Drosophila melanogaster: one gene and its partners. The protein of the gene in region 2 purifies or fractionates together with the protein of the main gene of each other region. This does not show direct contact. Each region holds a gene or a part of one and is shown on either strand. Other genes may lie near its edges.

Evidence for each region.
Region 1: the proteins of not (region 2) and Gcn5 purify together in Drosophila melanogaster (affinity purification with western blotting, with the first as the bait; 3 studies listed by BioGRID). This does not show direct contact.
Region 3: the proteins of not (region 2) and Atxn7 purify together in Drosophila melanogaster (affinity purification with western blotting; 2 studies listed by BioGRID, with this or other methods). This does not show direct contact.
Region 4: the proteins of not (region 2) and Ada2b purify together in Drosophila melanogaster (affinity purification with mass spectrometry; 3 studies listed by BioGRID, with this or other methods). This does not show direct contact.

The regions. Positions count from the first base shown.
Region 1 is NT_037436.4:12,520,622-12,525,610, reverse strand, and holds Gcn5 (Gcn5 acetyltransferase), read left to right. Parts: upstream 1-1,596; 5' UTR 1,597-1,707; coding exon 1,708-2,966; intron 2,967-3,020; coding exon 3,021-3,673; intron 3,674-3,735; coding exon 3,736-4,265; 3' UTR 4,266-4,482; downstream 4,483-4,989. Other genes in the region: eIF2beta (eukaryotic translation initiation factor 2 subunit beta), read left to right, coding at 1-457; ver (verrocchio), read right to left, coding at 526-1,170.
Region 2 is NT_037436.4:18,618,264-18,623,977, forward strand, and holds not (non-stop), read right to left. Parts: upstream 3,867-5,714; 5' UTR 3,850-3,866; coding exon 3,109-3,849; intron 2,570-3,108; coding exon 2,168-2,569; intron 2,107-2,167; coding exon 1,996-2,106; intron 1,929-1,995; coding exon 1,114-1,928; intron 945-1,113; coding exon 902-944; 3' UTR 543-901; downstream 1-542. Other genes in the region: bora (aurora borealis), read left to right, coding at 4,524-4,801, 4,860-5,714. UniProt on the Drosophila melanogaster protein: Histone deubiquitinating component of the transcription regulatory histone acetylation (HAT) complex SAGA. Catalyzes the deubiquitination of histone H2B, thereby acting as a coactivator in a large subset of genes.
Region 3 is NT_033779.5:2,374,008-2,381,015, reverse strand, and holds Atxn7 (ataxin 7), read right to left. Parts: upstream 5,176-7,008; 5' UTR 4,873-5,175; exon of another isoform or gene 4,753-4,872; intron 4,684-4,752; exon of another isoform or gene 4,344-4,683; intron 3,885-4,343; 5' UTR 3,815-3,884; coding exon 2,741-3,814; intron 2,681-2,740; coding exon 839-2,680; 3' UTR 510-838; downstream 1-509. Other genes in the region: CG15390 (uncharacterized protein), read right to left, coding at 5,377-6,150, 6,207-6,260.
Region 4 is NT_033777.3:8,236,613-8,242,232, forward strand, and holds Ada2b (transcriptional adaptor 2b), read right to left. Parts: upstream 3,904-5,620; 5' UTR 3,812-3,903; coding exon 3,698-3,811; intron 2,995-3,697; coding exon 2,119-2,994; intron 1,641-2,118; coding exon of another isoform or gene 1,571-1,640; coding exon 1,491-1,570; intron 1,424-1,490; coding exon 826-1,423; 3' UTR 502-825; downstream 1-501. UniProt on the Drosophila melanogaster protein: Component of several Gcn5-containing histone acetyltransferase complexes that regulate nucleosome organization; involved in acetylation of histone H3, particularly on Lys-10 (H3K9ac) and Lys-15 (H3K14ac).

The DNA of each region.
Region 1 (4,989 bases), 6.1 Mb from region 2:
GGTCTTCGAAATCATTCTCGACAAGAATCCGGACATGGCCGCCGGCCGAAAGCCAAAGTTCGTGATGCGACCGCCGCAGGTGCTGCGCGTGGGAACCAAGAAGACCTCCTTTGCCAACTTCATGGACATTGCGAAAACGCTGCATCGCCTGCCCAAGCATCTGCTCGATTTCCTGCTGGCCGAGTTGGGTACCAGTGGCTCCATGGACGGCAACCAGCAGCTGATCATCAAGGGCCGTTTCCAGCCCAAACAGATCGAGAATGTGCTGCGTCGCTACATCAAGGAGTACGTCACCTGTCACACCTGCCGCTCCCCGGAAACGATATTGCAGAAGGACACGCGTCTCTTCTTCCTGCAGTGCGAATCCTGTGGCTCCCGCTGCTCGGTGGCCAGCATTAAGTCAGGTTTCCAGGCTGTCACCGGCAAACGTGCCGCCATACGAGCAAAAACAACCTAAATTCTCCTTATTTAAAACTTTTTGAATTTTTATTACCAGTAAAATTTCAATACAAAAAACCAACGATACTATTTATTTGTTGTATTCTGCATTGTTTTATGCCTTCGTTGCCAGTCGGTTAGGTAGTCTACGAAGCCAATTTCCATATTCCGCGATCGGCCGCTGTCTATGAAGAACTGAAAAGCGTCCAGACCCATCTTGCCGCGGAACCTATTCGGACGACCGCGCAGGAATAGGCTGTGGCCCCTCGAGATGCGCGTGGGATCAATGTACTCCATGGAGACCTGCAGCAGCCGCATCATGCTCACGGCAATGCTCTTGTAGGCCTCGGACGAGGCCAGCGAACTGGCTTCACTGTACAGGCTGCTGATCACGCGTCCATTGAAGGGTTTTTTGGTGATGCTGGCCTCCAGGGAGCCGGTGCCATCATCGATCATGAACTTCATGAACGACTCGTTGTGCGTTCCATTGCCAGTTACAAAGGCGTAGATGATGCAGGTGCAGAAGTGAATCGGATGCACGTCGTCTGTGATGAACACATTCTCGTTCTCCGGATCCTGAGTTGCGCGCTCAATCTGGGATATGGTCAGCGGCACGTTGTCGTGGACCTCCGGACCACATTTGCCCGTGGACTTTTCACTCTGTTGATTCTTGCGTATCACGAAGTTATCCAGCTGGCTTTCTATGTCCTCGAAACTCTGATTAAAATCCATTCTATTTGCTTAGTCTGCGATTTCAAAGGGGATTTCTTTATTGCAGTGCATTTTGCATTAGCGCCAAAAAAAAAAACAGTTGTGAGCATGGGCGTAGACTTCGTATTTTCTTACAAATAATATTAATTAAAATTAATTTTGTGAGCAATTTTCACACAATTGTATTATAAGTTAAAACCAGGGTCACATTAATTTGCAGAACCGCGCAATATTTTCTTTTTAACCCCCTTACAAATTTTCAGTTGTTTTGACTACGCCCCTGCTAATTTTTACTTATTAAATTCAAAGTCTAAAAACATTGTCACCAGATAATACGAGTATACACTATATGGACAAACGTAAAATCGTTAATAGAATATATATATTCAACCATTATTTCACCACCGAGAGAAATTCATTTGCACAAAACGCCAGGTTGGCAGCACCATCATTGCGCACAGCAAGTGGGCAAACTCGTTGTATCGCTTGTGAAATTTAAGGAAAAGTACACTTTGTTCAAAACTAACGAAGAGAATCGCAATATCTGCCGATCTTGGAATGTCTGGTGGTCCATCCATAACGATAAAAAGCCAACCAATCGATGGTAACAACACGGGCAACGCTGCGGCGCAACAGCAGCAGCAGGCAGCGAATGGCGCAGCAACCGCTGGTGCATCTGGAGCCGCTGGCAGCGCCCAGAATCCAGGACACGGAGGAGCTGCGTCCGGCGCTGGCAGTGTGCCGGCAGAGGGAACGCGCCAGAACAGCCTACAGCGCATTCAGCAGCGAAAGCAAAAGGTCTTCAATCTGCCCGTGCCACAGAAACTGGCCAAATTGTCGATGTATTCCGCCTGCCAGTCTGAGGGATGCCGTTGCACCGGCTGGAAGACACCGCAGGAAAATCGCCACCGTGACGTCGAGTCCTCCTACTGTCCGGAGTTCAACGAGGAGTGCCGCAACACCAGCTGTCGCCATTCGCTGAGATCGCACATAGCCCATCTGGACAATATATCCAGTTCCAGCATGAACGAGCTACTGGGCGCCATTATAGACATGGAGAACCTATTCATGTCCATGCAGCGCGTCGAGGACGAGGACACCAAGAAGGTGTACCAGTACCTCTTCCGTTTGCTGCGCCAGTGCGTCCTCACGCGCCAGCAGGCGGTCATCCGGGGTCCTCTCGGCGATCCACCATTCGAGACGCCGTGCATCACCAAGGCTGTGCTCTCGTTGGTCTTCTACAAGTACAATCACCTGAGCACGCCTGAACTCCAAACCATGACCGAGGTGGCCAAGACGTTCTTGAACTTTCTGAACCACTACAACTTTGAATCGCCGTCGACCAGGAGAGGAGATCTCACCCACGAGGATGCCTCTAACTACAAAATCAACTACACCAGGTGGTTGGTGTTCTGCCACGTGCCCGCCTTCTGTAACTCCCTGCGCCAATGTGAAACGTCCCTAGTGTTTGGACGAACGCTCCTGCGCACCGTTTTCCAGTGCATGTCGCAGCAGCTGAAAAAGAAGTGCATCTCCGAGCGGGATCGCTTTCCCGAGGACAAGCGTTCGATCATCACGCTGATGCCGAAGTTTTTGGAAACGCTTCGCGCCGAATTGCTCAAGGATGATTCGCCCATCTGGGATACCAGCTACCGCCCGTCAAATTCCTTTGTCATCCAGCAGAGAAAGCGTAACCAGGAGGTGGCAAATGTACCCATTGGTCCCAGTGCAGCAAGCATTGGTGGAAACAAGAGGACCAGTGTGGGTGAACCGCTCCACAAGCGAATCAAAAAGGAGCCCACCGATCGTCCAAGCAGGTTGGTAATCAGTTTTTTCTTCTTTCAATACATTTACTAATCGTCCTGCCGCAGTGAGAATTTGGATGACCTGCCTGCGGATGTAGTAATGCGCGCCATGAAATCGGTGTCCGAGTCGAAGACCACCAACAAAGCGGAAATTCTCTTTCCGGTTAATGTGTCGCGGGATGAGAACGTCAAGGCGGAGGAGCAGAAGCGAGCCATTGAGTTCCATGTGGTGGGCAATTCGCTGACCAAACCGGTGGACAAGCAGACTGTTTTGTGGCTACTGGGCCTGCAGCTCGTATTTGCCTATCAGCTACCCGAGATGCCGCGCGAGTACATCAGCCAGTTGGTTTTCGACACCAAGCACAAAACACTGGCGCTCATCAAGGAAAACCAACCCATCGGCGGCATCTGTTTCCGCCCGTTTCCGTCGCAAGGCTTCACCGAGATCGTTTTCTGCGCGGTCACCATGTCGGAACAAGTTAAGGGCTATGGCACGCACTTGATGAACCACTTGAAGGACTACAGCATACAGAGGGGTATCAAGCATCTGCTCACATTCGCCGATTGCGATGCCATCGGGTACTTCAAGAAGCAGGGTTTCTCCAAGGACATCAAATTGGCGCGACCAGTTTATGCGGGCTACATCAAGGAGTACGATAGTGCTACTCTCATGCACTGCGAGCTGCATCCAAGCATTGTGAACACGCAGTTCATAGCTGGTTAGTCAAAGAATGGACAAGGAATCCATGGTCCCATTTTACACTCCAATTCTTCCTTTCAGTAATTCGCAGTCAGAGCGAGATTCTGAAGGAGCTGATCGCACAGCGCCACAACGAGGTGCAGAAAGTAAGACCCGGCTTGACTTGCTTCAAGGAGGGCCTGCCCGTGATTCCCGTGGAATCGATTCCTGGTCTGCGGGAGATCGGTTGGAAGCCGCAAAATCGTCCGGCGCGCTCATCGCGACCCCTCGAGGAATCCACCGATCCGGAGAAGCTGGCCACGTCCTTTGCATCCGTGCTGCAATCCGTGCGCCAGCACACCACCGCCTGGCCCTTCCTGCGCCCGGTGACCGCGGCCGAAGTTCCGGACTACTACGATCACATTAAATATCCCATGGACCTGAAGACCATGGGCGAGCGCCTGAAGAAGGGTTACTACCAAACGCGCCGCCTGTTCATGGCGGACATGGCGCGCATTTTCTCCAACTGTCGGTTCTACAATTCGCCCGACACCGAGTATTATCGGTGTGCCAACTCCCTGGAGCGCTACTTCCAGACCAAGATGCGCGAGCTGGGGCTGTGGGACAAATGATGCAGTGATTCCGAGGAGCCCTGCATAAGGCCGAACATTTAATCGAACTAAATTATTATATTAATTCTATTTATTTTTAGAATTCTCCCCAGCTAAAGAAAAACCCATATAGTTAGTTTGTCGTTATAGATACTTAGGTTAAGCTCAGTGTGTCCGTCTTGTTCACAGACGCGTTGTGTCTTTGGGAAGAATAAATCAGATCTATCGCCTACTCATTAACCACGAATCCACCCACTCTCCCTTCATCCAGTGGACAAAACCAATGCTGGTCAAATGATGTGTAACCACTACGTTTTTGTCTTAACTCTTTATTTCACTTTTGATTTCCTACATTCATTGTTTCGCATGCTTTTAAAGTTAGAGTTCTTCTCATTTGTTTTTATTTTGGTTTAGTAAATAATTTCAGTTATAAAATTATATCTTAGGGGCGGGAGTTTAATCGAATCTCTAGGACATTGTACAAAGGCTCATGCATACATAAATACGTGGCTCCACATCTGCGTTTCATCCTTTCCAAGGCTGCACCGGAAATGGCAAAGGATATCGTGGATATGCCGATGGTACAATGAAAATGTTAACCGTAGTTGCTTACTGCTTGAATTCAATTATCCTTTATTACATGGTATATTTAGTTTTTAATTTCCATACGTGGTAGTCTTTACAATTTAGCCATTACTTGCGAAACGTGCTTTCTTTTCAGTGTTCAACTCGATAATTGCGTATT
Region 2 (5,714 bases):
CAAGCGTTCGAACCAAGCGCACACTATAGTTGTCTCTTTTTAGCCTGCTCATAGCACAAGGCAGAGCGATGGAGTGAGAGGGCTCGCACATTAAAAAGCGTCATTCTGATCGCTCCCAGTACCGCAGGCTCGTTGGTCTAGAGGTATGATTCTCGCTTCGGGTGCGAGAGGTCCCGGGTTCAATTCCCGGACGAGCCCAAGTTGACGTCGGTTGTAATTTTTTTTTGTTTTTTAAATAATTGCAATGTATCTTAATCCCAGTTTCCTAAGCCCCCAAAAATGTAAGTATTTAAATTTACAATTATTGCTCTCCTTATTTAAATGAAGACGAAATAAAAAAAATCCATGACATTCATAAGCATGATTTGGATTTTGGTTCAGTTATAACGGATGTGTCTGAAAATGAGTTTTTAACATTTTTTTTTTCAATAAAAGGCATTTCAAGAAAAATGATAAAAATTCGCTTTCCATTTGTAATACGGCGTTTGTAGAATATCCCTTGTTTGATTTTTAAATATAAATGTATAAGTCATCTGCTTGTTGTTTTTGATTTTGTTTTTAGTATTATGGATTTGAAATACTTAGAGCAAAACGGGTATCTCCACAAATCGAGTGTTCAGATTGATTACATTTTCATTAATTTCCTTTTTTTTTGTTCTCCATTGTTCGTTCCAATGTTTTGAGTTTGTGAGCTTGAATAACCCCAATCGAATCAAATGAACACTCCTCAAATTGTAGGATTGCTTTCGTGTTTGTGTTAATATTACTTAATATGTAAGCGCTGCCGCGTCCTTGTCTGTATTTTGTGTTTATTCGTAATTCGTAATGCATTGACTTCTGTTTTCTGCTTTTGTTTTTTGAGGGATGCAGTCGCTGCTTTAATCGATCTCAGCGGATTTTCTTACTCGTATTCCAGCACATTTTTATGGTAGAACAATAAATAACTGAAAGAAGTGAAAATAAGTAGTTAGTTAATAATGATTTGATAATCCGAATAAAAAGCTAAATAACGTTGTATATGAATTTAAGATAAGACGTGAAATCAACTTAAGTAAGTTAACATTGAATGCTGCTTTTGCGGTGATAAAGTTGTAATATATTGGTCATTCTTACCCCTCGCTGTCCAGCACCTGCTTGAGCGATGCCATCGTTATCACATGATCATCGCACTTGACCCACGTGTCCTTCTGGTGCCGCACATACGCCGTATAGTGGCCGGTGTCGATGGTGCCCACATGATTGACCACGGCGTACAGAGAGAACCGGAAGTCGCCGTAGGCGTTCTTCTTCTCCGACATAAAGGGCGTCATGTCGAACTCCACGGGGAATTGAATGAACGAGGAGATCTTGCGATCGATCAGAGCTGAGTGCTCGAAGCGTTTCAAATGGAACGACACCACGCTGGGCAGAGTGCGCAGGCTGAACTGTTTGGTGGACTCCTGGTAGGATTTGCAGGTAGAGCACTTGATTTTGGCCGCCGATCCGAGATGCTCGGCCCGAGTGTACCGCTCCAGGCAGTCTATCAGCGTTTTTGGAGTAACACCACCATGCGTTGTTGTTTCGCCCAGGTCCAGCGAAATGTCCCAAAACGGATCGTACGTGGTGGACACTCCGTTGCAGGCCTGGCACACCACATCGCTCTGCAGCATGCCCGTGAAGATCTGGTCAATGATGCAATTACACTGGCCGTAGCAATGCGAGCTGCTCGAGTTGCTGGAATTGGTTCCACTTCCCGAGCCAGAGCTGTTGCTCTTGCTTTCGTGCTCCGCCTTTGCCTTCACGCAGTGCCGATGCAGCACGTCCAGAGTGGCGATGAAGAACTCGTGCGCATCCTGCTGCTCGTAGCCGGCCAAGTGCTTCGCATGGTTCCAGATTAAATGCAGTAGCCGGTGCAGCGACAGCGGCGAACGGGAGCCGGAATAGAACTCCTACAAAGGGGGATAGCATATCGAATAGAAAAGACTCCTCATAAACACCACAGCATATTGAACTCACCTGGAAGAGACGTGACACTTCACAAACGAGACATTTGTGCGATGACTTGCTGCCGCAGTCGTGACGATCTGACATAAAGTAATCGCTGAGCAGGGGCGTGTGAACCAGAGCCTAGAGGAGACAGGAGTAAGTCAGTGAGAGGAGACTCGCCAGTTTAATTGGATTTGCCCACCTGGACGATGCAGTTCATGAAGCAAGTGGCGCCCAGATTAAGCAGACCCCTCAGTCCGATCGTTTGATTGGGCCTCACCAGCCGACGCCTCGCATTGGCCAGCAGCAGATTGGTCTCCTTGGTTGTGGGAACCCACGGCACCCAGCCGATGCTCTTCTGCAGATCCTTCGCCTCCAGCTTGCGGTTGATCAGCGCATACTCGCGACTCCGCGCGTCGTAGATGAAATCTCTGCAGGCGTAGCAGTAGAGCGTTCCGTGGGACAGCTCCAGGGCCACATTGTGCTTCTTGGATCGCAGGTGACTCGTGATGTGGGCCCCCCGACATCCGAAGTAGATGCAGTGCAGGCAAGCGTACAACTGGATGCCGTAGCTGCCGCACTCGAAGCAGTTGCAGTGAATAGCCTGGCGGAGGTAGATTTTAAAATGGCAGCTGATAAAAAATTATATTCGTTTTTTTTCTAATCCCATTAACTTTACAAAAAATACGTCCCATACTAAATGCATAAAAGTGTAACAAAAATTTGAAAACTCTAAATCTCGTAAGCAATATAATATATAATCAATATGAAGCTAAAAATACAAAAGCCATGTAACAATATTAAATATTTTGAATATATTTTTCTTGATATGTAATTTCACCGTAATGAAAACAAAACTTTTTCGATGCAAAAGTATTTTTCACAGTGCCAATTTGTCAGCTGTTAAAACAGCTGTTGCATGCTTTACCCATTCAAAAAAGTCCGCACTGCTTTGTGGTGAGAACGGTGCGTTGTCTGCCACTGTCATCCCACAGCCGGGGTGTCAGTGACCTTTCACGTGACTCACGGCGCACCTCTGATTGTAATTGCGTTCTCCCCTTCGCACACTCGCACATTCTCACCTCACCACGCCAGTAGCGCACTCATTCTAGCTCCCACTCTCTTCCACGCTACTGAACTCACCTTTCGCTCGCGCGCATCTCTGTTGACGCAAGCAGCGAAGTAGGCGTCGATGACCCGGAATGTATCGTAGCTGTGCTCCTTCACATAGCTTTGATAGTGCCGACAACCCGTCTCGGACATGACGGCGCTGCTGGCGTCGGCGCTAGCGTTGGCTTGGGCGCTGGCGTCGCTGCCGGCGTCGGCGCTCTCAAGTTCAATAGCAAGTTTTTGCACGGTACGCAAGCAGTCCGATAGGCGCAAATGTTTGGTGGCATCTAGGGGGTTTTTCGCGTCCCTGTGGCCCTTTGCTACTCTGTCTCGCTGCTTGTCGCTGTTAACTGTTTTGATTAGATCGGCGGTGATAAAGCGACCGGCATTTGTTGTTGTCGCTGCTGCTGCTGCTACTGCTAGTGTTTCGTTCTCGGCCGTTCCCCGGCCCGCTTCTGCACCCACCGCCCACCGTTCCGTTCCCCTGCCGAAGCTTCGGCCACTGCTGCTGCTGCTGCTACTGCTAAATACGCTCGTATTACTATCAACACTATTCTCTTTTGTTTTCGCCCGTTTCGCCGACGACTGCAGCGGCACGAATGCTTTGTCACACTTGCGCTGTTTTCGCCGAATTTTGGCCACTTTTGCGGTTCTTCGCCGGGCGGCCCAATTTTGGAAGTAGTTGGGCTTTTTTTTTGTGAATTTCTGTGATTTTTCGCTTGCTTTTCTTGTTTCTATTTCGCACTGCACGCAAACACATACACACGCGCGCATATGTGTTGGTAGAAGACAGCTGTCAGTGTGACCAGTTGCGAAATCGTACTCAGATGTTGGCATTGGTATTTTTCTAATATAAGAGTATTGAAACATTTAAAACGGAATATTAGTTTAAATAGAAAGTAAACTAAACCATTCAAGATAAAGTTATATTGAAATGGAATCTCTATTCGGGTTATAGGAACAATAAAAGGTTCTAGCAGCCCAAATATTGAAATGCATCCATATTCGGATAATTACGAGCTACTTATTCCTCAAGTTTATAATGGGATACAATTTTGTATACCAGTAACCATTCTTTATTTTTAGACTGGTCCCATTTTATTATAAAACGGTTAAAGTCGCCCAGCTGATGTGTTATCGACAGCAAGCAGCGGGTGGCGCGCAAAATAAAAATACTAAAAGTTAGACGGGAGTCGAAATAATTTGCAGGCACTTTTAGATATGCGAATAAATAAATATTAAGTGACAAATCAGTCGTTAGCACCTTTTTTTCCTTGAACATCCCTCACTTTCGCATTCTGCTTTTCGAATTGCCAACGATTCGATAACTCCGCTGCATCGCTATACAACACTGCTGCATTTGAAAATACCGACATCTGCCTGCGAGTCGCAGCAGGCGCGCTTGTTTTATTTTAAGTCGAAATTAGGCGACTTAGTGACTGAAAAAGATGTACAACGACGAGGTGCGAACGCCGCAAGCCCTCAAGAATCGATACATTACAAATGTGAACGGATTGAAGTGCCGGGCGCGCCGTAACAGCCACTCGAACAGCAGCAACTCGTCGGCGGCGTCGGCAACGCCAACGAATGGCGGCAAAGAAAATGGAAAATACAGCCCCCAGATGTCGGGAAATGTGTGCACCCCGCCCCCGAAAAGGCTGCACAAGGTGCGGAATCCCTTCGAAGGAGCGATGGCCGATCGTTTACACCTGCCACTGATCGCCAGGTGAGTTTTTCGTCTGCTCGAAAAATCCTCTTAACGCGACCCTCTCTTTTCCTGGCAGCCCCTCACTTTTCCGCTCGCGGACACCCCAACTCTCGTCCACCCAGTTCGAGTGGAACATTGACGAGGTCTCCCAACTAAAACCCGCCGACGTGGAGCCCCATGAAACCCAGTTCCACGATTCCCCCGATCCCGAGCAGGAATCCAAGGCCCAGTTGGCCATCAGTGCCTTTTTCAAGGAGTCACTCATTGTGCCCAGTCCGGTGGATTGCCCATTGCGAAAACAGCGCATAATACTCAATTGCAGCGAGGACAACACTCCCATATCGAATAAGTCGCGAAGGATGCGGGATTGCGAGGTGCAAACGGAACTTACTTTGCCGCCGATATTGCCAAAAGCCCTAGAGGATGCCCTGCGTCCGTACTTCCAGCCACATTTGGCTGGCCGCTTGTCTGGCAGGAGCAAGTCAAGTGGTGGTCCCGACATCTTTAATAGTTCCATGCGCCGGAAACTCTTCGATCTGCACAATGTCATTGTTTTGGGCGAACAGGACACGGCAGAGCCATCGAGGTCCATGGTGGGCTCCAGTCCGCAGGGCAAGCAAACAATGTTCGCTGGCAGACTGTCGGATTCCGCATCCGGGGAAAGTAGCTTCGGCTGCCTTTCACCCATTAGAAACCTATGCGGACTGCCGCCTGGCACGCCCGATAATGGTACTTGCTCGGGAAAGAGGAAACTTCTAATGCACGAGCTGGAGCTGCCGTCGCCCATTGCCCCGTCGGAGCATCTCAGTCGGAGATTGGTGCACTCCAAGGTAGAGATCAGCGTTACGGAGCAGCACGACACGTTGTCAGAGCGCACGGCATTGAAGTTCACGCCAGACAGGAGTTCCTCGCCCATGGGCGGCGGACTGGA
Region 3 (7,008 bases), on a different chromosome or scaffold from region 2:
AAAATATTCTTTTAAATTGTAACTTATTTATTCGGCACTTATTTAATCGTTTTAGTGATTATTTGTTTTAAGGATATCTATAGTTGTGCCGCATACCGTAGGGATTATAAGGTTTTAAGCTTCGATAGATATTGTTAGCGTGTTCGTAAACCATTTAGACCGTTATTTTAATACGAATTTTTGAATGGCTTCACACTATTCCGGACAATTTATGTTATTTCTGACCGACATGGTCGGCGGATCCCACATTTCGGCTAACCACAGCCACTGCACTGTTCCTTACCCTTTGCCACTGCAATGTTCCTTACCCAGTGCCGTTGCCTCGAAATCTATCTTCCACTTCCACACACCTGTGCCAGCTCATGGGATCCATCAGAACAGTCGACTATGCCGTTGCAGGCTAAGCTGGTTTCCTTCGCTCGCCGGTTACTGTTCTCAACACATGGAACATAATCATAACTTGCTCCTCGTTTGGAGGAAGATATACACAATGAGGCAACGCTGGGTCTGGAGTATAATTGAACTTAGGCATGCTCTTGTATTTAAAAAGTTTACAGCGTGTATAAATAATGATTTACGAGTACCTAGCATAATGCTTAGCCACGAAAAATAATATGTATAATTGTTAAATTAATTAGAATAAACAAAGAATTACATACAATCAACTAATAGATAACTAAAAGATAATTATCACTTTTAAAAAATGAAGAATTAATTTAAAAAATTATTACAATTTAATTTAGCATTAGAGAAGAGGCTGCACATAATAGCATGGTATTGTATAAACATATAACTAGGGATGCGTGTCCGCACATCTGACCTTCCCCATCGGTTCAGATCAGACGAAGACGCGCATCAAGTCGCTGCTGGTTGGAGTGGAGTTGCCTCCCGGATTGGAACTGTTCCCCTTCCAGGGAGGATTGCTGTTGGCGCTGGGAGTGTTGCTGCTGTTCAAATTGCTGATGTTGTTCATGTTGCTGATGTTCATGTTGCTGCTGCTGTCGGACAAGGTGCGCAGCAGCTGCTTTTTGAGGAGCTGCTGTGGCGAGTGGCTCTGACTTTGGCTGGCGTTGTGGTTGCTCTGGAGCGGCAGGGTGAAGCTGGGGCGGCCGAGGGGCTGCAGCTGCTCCAGCTTGCCGGCCAACAGTCGGCGGCGTTTCTCGTAGAAACTGAAGGTCAGCTTGTTGTCCTCCTCCTTGTCGCGTTCCTTGTCCTTCGTCGGCTGCTCGCCGCCATCCTCGCTATCCGGTGGTGGCTTCTCCTCCTTCTTCGCCTTTCCCATTAGCAGTTCATTCAAACGCTTGGCTGTCATGACTCCCGGCGATCCGCTTGATCCACCACCAGCTTTTCCTCCTACCAGCGCCCTCTTATTGCACCTCAGGCGATCTTGTGCAATGACATTCGATCGCTGAGCGTAAATGGTTCTGCCCGAGGCGGGATTCTTACCCGGCAGACCGTTGCTTAACGCTGGCGAGGGCGGCGGCGGTGTGCGGGCCAGCTGACCGACCACGCCCAGGTGATTACCTCCCGACAGGGATAGCAAATTGTTGTTCGCCTTCCGCGTGGTCAACAGATTCTTGCGGAAGGTGACGCCCAGGCCCTGGGGCAACTTCACCATGCCAAACGTGTTCATGGCCAAGGGACGAGGCGCTCCGGAGTACAGCATCACGTTAAAGTAGCTGTCCTCGTGGTATTTGGCATTGGCCAGCGATGGATGGTGATTGATTTGAGGATTTGTTGTGGGTGGCTGGCTGGCGGCCTTGGCCTCCAGCTTAACAGTCTTTACGGTGTCGCTAACAGTCTCCAGTTTACTGAACTCAAAGTCGGCCAGTTCATCCGCCAGTTGGTTTGCCTCCGTTCCAGAACTCAAGTTGGTTTGTATGCCGCCCGATTGCACGACATTCACGTCCACATTTTCGTAGCCCGCGTTGGTTAGGAATTCGGCTAAGACCTTCTGCTCCAGCATGGAAACGGGATTCGACTCGGTGATCTCGTATATAATACTGGGCAGGATCATGTGCTCCTCCAGCTGCTGTTGCTGTGGATTGACCATTGCCTCATCCGTCAGAGACGGCACGTTGTAGACGCTGAACTGGCGCTGCTGCTCGTGATCCTGAAGCTTCTGATCCTGCTGCTGCTGTTGCTGCTGCTCTTGCAGTTGCTGCTGCTCGAGCATCTGCTGCTGCTGGTAAATCAGTTGCTGCAACTGCATGGCATCGATGGTGGTCAGCTCCTGCTGATGCTCTTCCTCGCCATAAACCTGCTGAACCGCCTGCTGCTGGTACACGGCGTAATCCTCGCCAATGGTTCCGTCCTCAAAGCGCAGCCTTTTAGTGGCCTGTGCGGGATGCGATAGCGATCCATTCTGCGCTTGCTGTTGTGACTGCTGTTGCGATGTGTCCAGAGCGCTCTCATCGAAGTTATTCAGAATCTCGTTGATCAGCTTGCTGTCCAGCATTTCGTCGAGCGTCTGCGAAATGGAGTTCTCGTCGGAGGTGTTGGGCAAGGGCAGTTCCTCCTCATCGGGCGCCACCTGCTCGGCGGAAACCGCTCCCGTGATGGAAGACACTGCCTGGTCCAGTTCGCTGAGCACTTGCTGCTGCTCGTAGGAATTCACCAGAGACTTATCTTTGTTCTTCTCCTTTTCCGCTTTTATTCGATGATCGCTGGAGCCCTTCAACTGAAGAGGATTTCGGTAATTGTATCATTGAGTTATTATAGTCACAATTATATGAAATACCTTTTTCTTTGGCTGCAGCTCGGGCAGCTTTTCCGCATCCGTCTGAAGCTGGGCAGGTGAATAGTTGACCCCCATCGCCACCTCGCTGGAGGCCGCTCCCAACGTGGGAGTGGGCGGTAAGCTGCAGGATGAGTTGCTGGAGGAGGAGAACATGGTTATGGCAGCCGGAGCAGCACCCACAGATGGTGGCTCCTCCTTAACAACAGCAGCGACGACGGGAGGAGCGGCTATGGCCGAACTCTTCTTCGATCCCTTTGACTCCTTGTGATTGGACTCCAGCAGGGCCGGAGCTGGCGAGGAGTGGTGGCGGTTCTTTGACGACTTCGAACGCGACCTACTTCCGGCGGAAGTGCTGCTGCTGCCCTTAGACGAGGAGGAACTGCTACTTTTACTGCTGCTGCTCTTGTGACGCGACGAAGACGAAGACGACGTGGTGCTGGATGAACCCGCAGCAGCCGGATGCTGCAGTGAAGCCGAGCTGCTGGACCCGTTCGAGCAACTGGAGAGCGTCGAGGCCGAAAGCGTATCCGTGGGCGAACTTGGCACGATAGCCCCGCCCTCCTGACTGATTTCCGTGGCAGTGAGACGAGAGTCGCTGGATATGGCTGTCCCATTTGGATTGGGATTCACTTTGCTGGATGTGGCCTCCCAGACGCTAGGATGCTGCAGCGCAATGTGGTGCTGGAAACCTGCCTTCGTGTAACATCCCGAGCAGGAACTACAGAGTACTATATCGCGACTGGCCAGCTTCGGCGCCAGATCGTAGTAGGCCATGTCCGCCGATTGCAGACGCTGGACCTGCACCTTCGCCTGTTGATCTGCGCCGGCGGAGGAGTTCTTTCCACCACGCAGATACGTCTTCTCAGCCGTTCGCAGTTGCTTGATGACCTTTTCCATGTCGAAGACCTGCTGCCACTTTTGGCCCTGCAGGCTAAACAGGGATAGTCCCGCCGATCCCGAGCCGGAATTGGAGCCGGCCGACGAGTCCGGCTTCCACATTCCCGACACCTTGTGCTTGGTTCCATTTTCCGGATAAGCTCCACCACCGGCGGGGGCCACATCGTTCAGGGGCATTCCGGATAGAAGCTGTGCTCGCGGGATCCGGGGATTCGGTACACTCGAGCAAAATTGCCCCTTAAAGCACCTGCAAAACAGGATTGATTTATTAGTTCCAGAGAAACTTTGATAGTGACAGCTTTTAACTGATACTGCAATTCATCGCTGATAAAAAACACAAAATCTGGGGCTATGCACCATGAACCCCGGACCACGGAATCCCTACGAAATGCCCATGTTAAAATCATCACTAGTTTTCATACAATAAATTCGTATATTCTATTACATATACATATGTACGTGGTTTGAATCACCACCAGGCGTGTTTAACCCTAAAACTCAAATTTAATCTTATAAGTATATCTCAAGAAGATTACAACTTTATTAGATTTAGATTTAAGGTAAATTAAAACAAGAATAATCATTTAGAATTAATTATTTATTTTTTCTTTATTTTTTTATATTATAATTAAAATTTTTTGGTGCACGTTAGGATTAACATAAACAGAACCATCGTTATAATTAAATGAATAGATATCAGCAGAACCCACTTATACATATACAACATATCCATTGACCACAGGACCCTGACCCTGAATACATACATACATACATATATAGATTTTATTAGCAACGGAAAAGTATTGGACACTGCACAAACCACTTGTGGAGGGTGTGAAGACTGTACGTCTTGGAGTATTTCTATGCGTATATTGCCATTTTTGAATGAATCTCGAAATTTAACAAACTGTTGTTTTTGATATCGTAAATTTTCAGCGAAAGCTTACAGGTGAGTGCTGCCCCCGCCCCCGCGAGCGCCAACCCCTCGGTACCCGCACCCCTTGGTCTGGATCAGCTGTTTTTGACAACCGCTACTCGAGTGGCGCCGTCTCGCTCGCACTGCCGCACACATGCGCAGCCACTCACACCGACGCACAGCACACTCACGCACTTACCCACACCAATGCAACACAAACAAAGCACACGATTGAAAATCACAAAATAAAAATCACTTAAAATGCTCGCAGGCAATTTTAGTCGAATGCCGAATGATATCGGCATTAAATGACACTTACGTCGTTAACACACTTCCATGTTTTGTTGTTTTTTTTGTGGGTTTAGGTTACCGTTCTACCCTACCCGTGGATAAATCGGATTTTTGGCCGGCCTCCGTGGAGGAAAATGCCAGGTCAACTCGAAAAAGACGAGTTGGTTGTATAGCCTAATTGATTCTGTAACGAAATCAATTAAAGCTTTCTAGTTTGTCTCGCTTTTTCGAGTTTAAAGATTGATATTATGAATATCGTTGTATTTGCTTAGGGATGGCAATTCGCGTCTCGTTACGTTACGTTGTATTTGTTGCAGCTGCAGATTAAGTGCGATATGTTATCGATAGTCGCACAGGTATTCGTTGCATACGTAGCCGATATATTAATTACATGCATTTCCGCTGAAAAGTCAGTTGAATATATTTATGAATTAAAATCTTTTTAAAGGCGATAGAAAACTATACTTAACATTTCCTATTTTTACAAGCGTTTATTTGCTGGCACAAACTATAACCATAATTAAACGTAACATTAGTCATCTTCATCACTAAGCTCATCCTCCTCCTTTCTTCTGGACTTTTGCTCCAGTTCCTTGGCGTAGAGATCCTTGAAGGCTTCGTATTCCGGCAGGGTGACGTGGCAAATCTTTGTGGCGAAACTCTTCTCGGAAGTGTCTGTAATCTGATAGAGTTTGGGGTTCGTAGTCGGCTCATTTGGATCGGCTTTCGGAGGTCGTGGCTTAAAGAGGCCCAAACGAAGCAGGAACTGGTGGCGACAACGCAGCTCCTCGAATGACAAGGTAAGGGCTGCCGATTTAACCAACTCCGGCACTTCTATGCGCATCACGTCTGTGATGAAGTTCAGTTTCTCCTCAATAGATACCTCGGATTGTGCTATCAAATCCGGACTGTTCATCAAACACTTCCACACATTTTTGCTGGTGGAGACGCGACTTTGAAGGAAGCCGATGTGGGAAAGTAACTGGTGGGAGTCGCTAACGTCCAGTAACTCGGGGTACTTCGTAAGGAGCAGGTGCAGTAGATTCTCGCCGAATTGACAGGCCCTCCAGATTTCCAGGCAGCTTATTATTTTGTCCGGCGTTCTTTTCAAAATCGCGGGGTTACCGGTAACTATTCTAAGGAAATTCACGGTTTCCAAGCCGTGGTTTTGAAAAGTTTGATGGGCCCTTCGCCAGATTTCAGGTGAGAATACAGCTAACGTGGGTTCTATTTTGATGGCTTCATCGATGTGAATTTGTTCAAGCTGCAATATCTTGGGCGTTGCCAAGTGCCTTATGTGATGTAACTGGAAAGTAACAATTTGTATCTAATTTCTATCTAATGCATTCATGATTAACTCACGTTTGACTGTTGTTTTAATACAGCTTGTGTGTTAAATAATAGTTTCCGCAACATTTTTGGCGATGTCCTCTTAAATCGGCGAGCAAAACAATGAACAGCTGATCTCTTCTTCTTTGCAATGACAGTTACCGAGAAGCGTGAACAACGGCATGTTTAGCTGGTACACCCACCATATTCGTCTATAGCTTAATTGTCTATTAAATCGCACGCATCGAACTGTTATTCTCGTCGGGTGCACAGCAAATTGTTTATAAATAGAACTGTCGCGCATAAAAAACAACAGTGGAAAGTTTTATCGTTTAGTTCTGCTACAAGCTCAGCGTAAGTTTTTTTTCTTTATTTTGTACATATGTGTGTATACATGTGTGTGAGAGTTCAACTATAGCATAATTATAATCAAACTCTGAAAGAGATATAGCTTAATGTTATAAACTAAGTACTACCCGGCTTATTTAACCAAAGAATTCAAATTATTTGTCGCCATTTGGAACCGTACAAGTAAATACATACATATGTATGTAGAAAACGACATGTAAACTGATCGATACACTGATAAAAATTTATATTCAAGTGAAAAAGCTTAAATCAAATTTATAAATGGATGTGAAATGTATTTTTATATTTCTTTTAAATATACATAAATCCATACACAAAAACCCAACTAATAAATTGTTGATATTGAAAAGGAAATCATCCAGAAATTAATCAAGAGAATTAAAATGTTATTTTTGTAATAATCTTAAAAGCTCTGTGTATCAGAGCGAACGTGACAAGTGTTTTTACTTAATGAGGAAACTATTGG
Region 4 (5,620 bases), on a different chromosome or scaffold from region 2:
GATATATTTTTGTAGGTATACGGTTACAGAGTGCATGCTTTAGGGTGCCGCATTGGACGAACATAAGCTAGGATAAATAACTAGTGGGTTTCTTGAACTGAATGAGTGATTTTGTTAAGTTTATAATACCGAAGAATGTCATTAGATAACCGCATTTTCATTTAACAAGTTTTAATCTTCGCTAATTTATAAAACATTCCATATGTGTTAACATATTAGATATTTATATATTTTTTCCAGCATTGTTTTCCATTCCTCAGCCTAGTACATTGATTATCATGCTCTCATGGGCTTTAATGAATTACGTTCAAATGCATTGTTCAGAATCTTGCCTAGAAAACTAGCTACCATAAGAAATAATATACGAATATAAATACTCAACGCGGTATTATCGCTATCAGAGGCTTACTCAATACCTTACTTCTTACATATCCTAGCGGCATTCAGTCCAAAGCGGTCTCCCAGCTGTGAGATCCGAGAAACAAGTCGCGTCCTTGTTGTACATTCACTATTACATTTATTACTTCATTTACAATTCATATCATACATATTCAATTGGTTGGGTCCCCTACTTAAGCTTAGTTAATACACAATATCTGAATCCCGACATCTCACACAAAGGAACAACACTTATTGTAATTGAGCTTGACTTGATACAAGTAAATTGATTTTCAGTTTTGTAGTTTTTACCTTGATGAAAATGCCAACGACAGTTGAACAGTATAAAAATGTCTTTAACCTATTCTAACTAATACAAAAATAAAGTGAAGTCCTTGGAAATGCATGTGGCTCTTAATCGAAGGGGAGCGGGAAGTTGGAAGATGTTCAGTGGCTCAGCCAGCCGCACTTGATAAAGAACTTGCGCAGCGAAGTCTCCATAGGACTACCCAACGATGGTGCTCCGCTCAAGCAGACAGTCTTAACCGAGAGGTAGGTGGTGGGCGTAATATTATGCTTCTTGCACAGATCCAGCTCGTTGTGACTGAGCAGTTCACTGCCCGGCGGCTGTGGCAGATGTTTTAGTTCCTCCAGCTGGGTGCGCAATTTCAGGCTCATGCTGGGCACCTGATCACTGCCTCCGCCGGCGGCCTCGTTTTGCATTTTGTGCTGGTTGCCGCTTTGCAGGAGCTGAGGATGCTGCTGCAGCGGCTGCAGATGTTGTTGGCTTCCCTTCGCCGAGTTCGTTGGCAGATTCGCCATCGTCGTAGCCGTGGAAGTCACTCCCGTCGTCGCTCCCGAGTCCACTGTTACCCCCATTACCATTCCCGTCGTCTGCAGCATCGTAGCTGCCGACGATCCCCGACAGCTATCCAAGTAGTTTTTGCTGGGCAATAATGCGCCGGAGCAGGTCGGGTCGGCGATGTGGAGCGTGTTTCTTGGTGCGATTGAATTTGAACTTGCCTCGCCGCCGCTTGACATTTCGCTAAATAAACGAAAAACCGAATTATTCAAGTTCTAAGGTAATTGCAATTTTTTGCCAAAATACTTACACCTTTCTGAGATTCGGTTGTGGGGAGTGCAAGGAAGAGCTTGGCGGCCGATGACTTCCATTGGAGGTATGCGTGTGGTCCTGTGGTTAAACATTGTCTTATAGAACCATTCGAACGCTCGTTGTTTGGCGCGTTTATTATGCAGTGGAGCTGAATATCGTGAGACAAGACGGAAAAGCGATTGTAAGAGTTGGGTCAGTTCAGGTAAGGACGACGGTTAAAGCAAGGCAGAACACACGATATTCAACTCGTCATGCATTCTCAGTGGGAAAAGCTTACTCCAAGGGGAATGAAATCGAAACTAGCCAATTTGACCATTTAATATTCTGTATTAAGTATTCCAAATCGATTTATCCAAACTTTTATCTATACATTCAACTTAAATCATTTGTTTTCTTTCAATTTAAGTTAATCTACTCATTGTTGATAAAATTATAAAGCTACCGGTTCCGGTCACCTAACACCTCTTTTAATTTTTGTGAAACAATCGAAAGAAAAGGTAATGTTTGGATTTTAATAATAAAAAAAAAAATAACAAAGTTCCAAAAAGTTCGGATTTTCAAGACCAAATAAAATATTTAATGGTTAGTTCGATTTCGGCACCCCTGTTGCGGAGCCTTAAACTTACGGTCTTGCCATGGCCATATGGTCCTGTAGAGCGGTGCGTCGCTGTTGCGGCGTGCTGCTCGAAATGTGTGCATTCCGCGATTTTGGTCAGGCCATTATACCGGTATCGGTACAGCTCTGACTGTCGAATGCGCAGTTCCTTTTCGCGCTCCAGTGATCCCAATAGCCGCTCATACTCGTTACACGTGTAGAACTGGGCGTAGACCCGAAATCTGTCCCGAAACTCGCGCTGCTCCTTGGTGAGTCCTTGTTGCTGAGCGTAATTTCTGTTTCGGAAGAAATTTGATACTAATTGATAGTCCCTGACCATCCGTTTCCTGCGAGCACGCTCTCTGAGTCGGCGGGTGTATATGTCAACGTGGGCCAGCTTAAGCATCACATCCACCTCCGTATCCTCGGAGCTTAATGAGATGTTCGAGATCAGTTGCTCTGCCGTGGGATCGTACTCCCGCTCAAAGCTGTCCCTGTTGGGCATGTAGCCCAGCTGCATGGCCTCATCGGAGTTGATTTCCAGTGGAGGCAAGGTAGAGAGAGCATTGGTGCCCAGAGGACCAGCGTCGTCGTCTCCAGTGTGATCGATAAGGCGGGGTCTCTGGCTCTGGGCCGGCGTCCAAGTGGCCCTTCCAATCGTGCCATTTACAAACTTATTCACGTACTCCTCTTTGGCATCCTCCGCTGACTTCGTCTCAATGTGCTTGCTAATGTCCTCCCAGTTTCCAAAGCCGTACTGCTCGATTGCATCCAACAGGCGGATTTCCTCTCGTGCCGTCCACGCCCCCTTTCCACGAAATACACTCAATATGGAAGTGCCGGTGTCCATGAACTGGTAGGAGTGGTTGTTTTGATGGGCGCCGATCTCCGCACCTGCGGCAAAGCACTGCGCAAAAAATAAACAATACAATATAAATACAGAGTCAGCTGTTTTTTAATCAATATGGTGAAATTGCCGGTTGTGTGTATGTATTATTTGAATGTCTAGATGAGTCAGTTTTTGGTTCCAAATTGGCGACGCATCTCTAGATTGTACGAGTGTGGGTGTAACAGGGTGGGTCGATTATGTTGACAAAGAAAACGTGTAAATAGTTCCTCGATAAAAATAATTTGATTAGGAAATTAAAACAGAAACATATTTCATATTCCCTAAATTTACGCTTTGTCAGGCCTTTTTTTAATACAAGATTCAGACACTTATTTTGACATTTTTTTCTTTTTAATTTATGGCATTTAACTAAATAAAAATGACACTGCTAATTCGTAAGGAAGTAATTTTTAATTAAATTAACTACGATAGTCTACCTATTTACCAAAATCAATAAACAAATTTCCTTTAAATTAACAAAAAGTTAAAGCAAATATTTTTCTTGTCAAGATCTGGGTGACGTTAATTTAGAGGATTGAGGCCATATGGCCATTAGTTTGACCATCCAAAGAGGGTGATTCAAGAATATTTTGTTAAAATAACTGATTTTTATTATTTACAAATCTATATACAAGTATCTAGAACCTCAAAAAGAGCGAACCACCCTACTGCAACATGTATACGTGCGTCGCTCGACGGCGTGTATGTGTGAGTTACTTACTTGCAGACACAAATCGAAGTTTTCGCACTCCGCGCAGTGCACTCGAATGCCCTGAATATCATCCTGGCAATTTGTGCAATTATACTTTGTGAATAAATCCGCGATTGTGGTCATTTTGGGCCAAAACCTGGATTTTCACGACAATTATGAGTTGTGCGAAAAAAACCTATGCCAGTAATGTGACCAGACGCGAAGTCAACGCCATATTGCTCTACTGAGAATTCTTATATGTACGGCCAACGAACCGAACCAGTTCATCGGAACAGTGCCGCCTATATAGCTAGTCTTAAAGCCTTTTTAGCTAATTTTCATAATTCTGTTGAATCTCTGAATTATAGTTAATTTCTAAATTATACTACTTACCAAAAGTACCAACACATTAAATATAGAATACAAATTTCAAACATTAGGCACATGTTCAAAACTCTAATGTTTATGCGTTAAATATTGATAGTAGTTTATTTAATTATTTTAAAAGTTTAATTCGAGTGTTTTGCCTTTTTTAAATTATCACAAAAAATAATATTAATATATATAAAATAAAACTAAAATAAAAGAAGTGCATATCAAACCAAAACAAGGTAAACATAAATACGAATATGTGATGGTTGAAACATTTGTAGCGTGGTGCTGAATAAAAATATAAAAAACTCATGTGCTTAAATGCAGTTCGATACGTAAATTTAAGCGGTGGTCAGGATTAAAAACTTAAGCTAAATTCTGAGTTACAAAAAAAATATAAAATGGGTAAATATCTTTTGTTTCAAACAAAAAGTGTAAAAGTAATAACTGCCGAAAAATATTTCGGTTGCTTACATCTAACATGAATAGGGCGTGGGACTGCCGAGATATTGTAGGTTACAATCATTACAATCATTGGGAAGGATTTGGGGTAGGCTACGCTGTATAAATAGTTGATTATTCGATTAGTTCATATGGTGAATACGTTTATATTATTGTTAGTATTGCTGTCTTACACCGAGCAGTAGCCGAATTGTTATGGGTTCCAGATATCTCAGTGGGCGGTGAGGACTAGTTTGTGTTGCATGTGGCTTTGGTGGCATTGTTGCTAGTTTACTCTTGCTAGTTAGCTTGGACCAGAGAAAAACAAAACGAGTTACACGATACAAAATGGGTTAACAGATCTTAAACAGATATGGCAAGTTACTTGTGCAGCTGCGCTTTTCAAAAACACGCACACGGCCAACAAAATTTATCAATTCGAGTACCTAAAAACGTCTAAATAAGTCTATTTGAGCGCCAAATTCGGTTTTGGTGTCGCACCTGCGTCTGATCCTAGGGACTGAAGTATGTTTAACAATACTGTTCGAGGACATTCAAGAGTTTGAGATTCACGATTTTCACAGATACGGTTCGATTTGAATTCGCTTGCGTAAGGAACTAAGGAAAAGTCACAGCGCAGGCGCGACCCCAGTCGTCATAATTGACGACTGGCAACGGAAACAGATCCATGTCCAGATCCGTCTGAACCGCCTGCTCCCAGCATCGAGACTCATAAGCAGGCGGCCGCGATGGATGGGCTCTCAAAATTTGCATAAGCGAGTAGTCCTAAAGCATAACTATCAACTAATTTGGTATGTAAAGTCTTTGTGTCTTTGTCATGGGCATTGGCGCGATGAGGGCTCAAGGTCCTGTGGCAATGGCCAACTAGCAACAGTATGACCAACATGCCGGCAGATGCCACAAACTCTGCACCATACTCACTCGGATATGGGAACCGATTCGCTGTGCTCGGTGTCTCGTCTTTGTCTCTAAACTCTCGCTGCTCATCGTCATCGTCTTGGGAAGCGTCTAAACATTGGCTAAGCTTGGCGGGGATCACTGGTGTGGTGAAGCTGGAATAGGTGCTGACATGGCTTTTGGCGGCGCTCAGCCCAACAATATGCATATGATTGCACACAC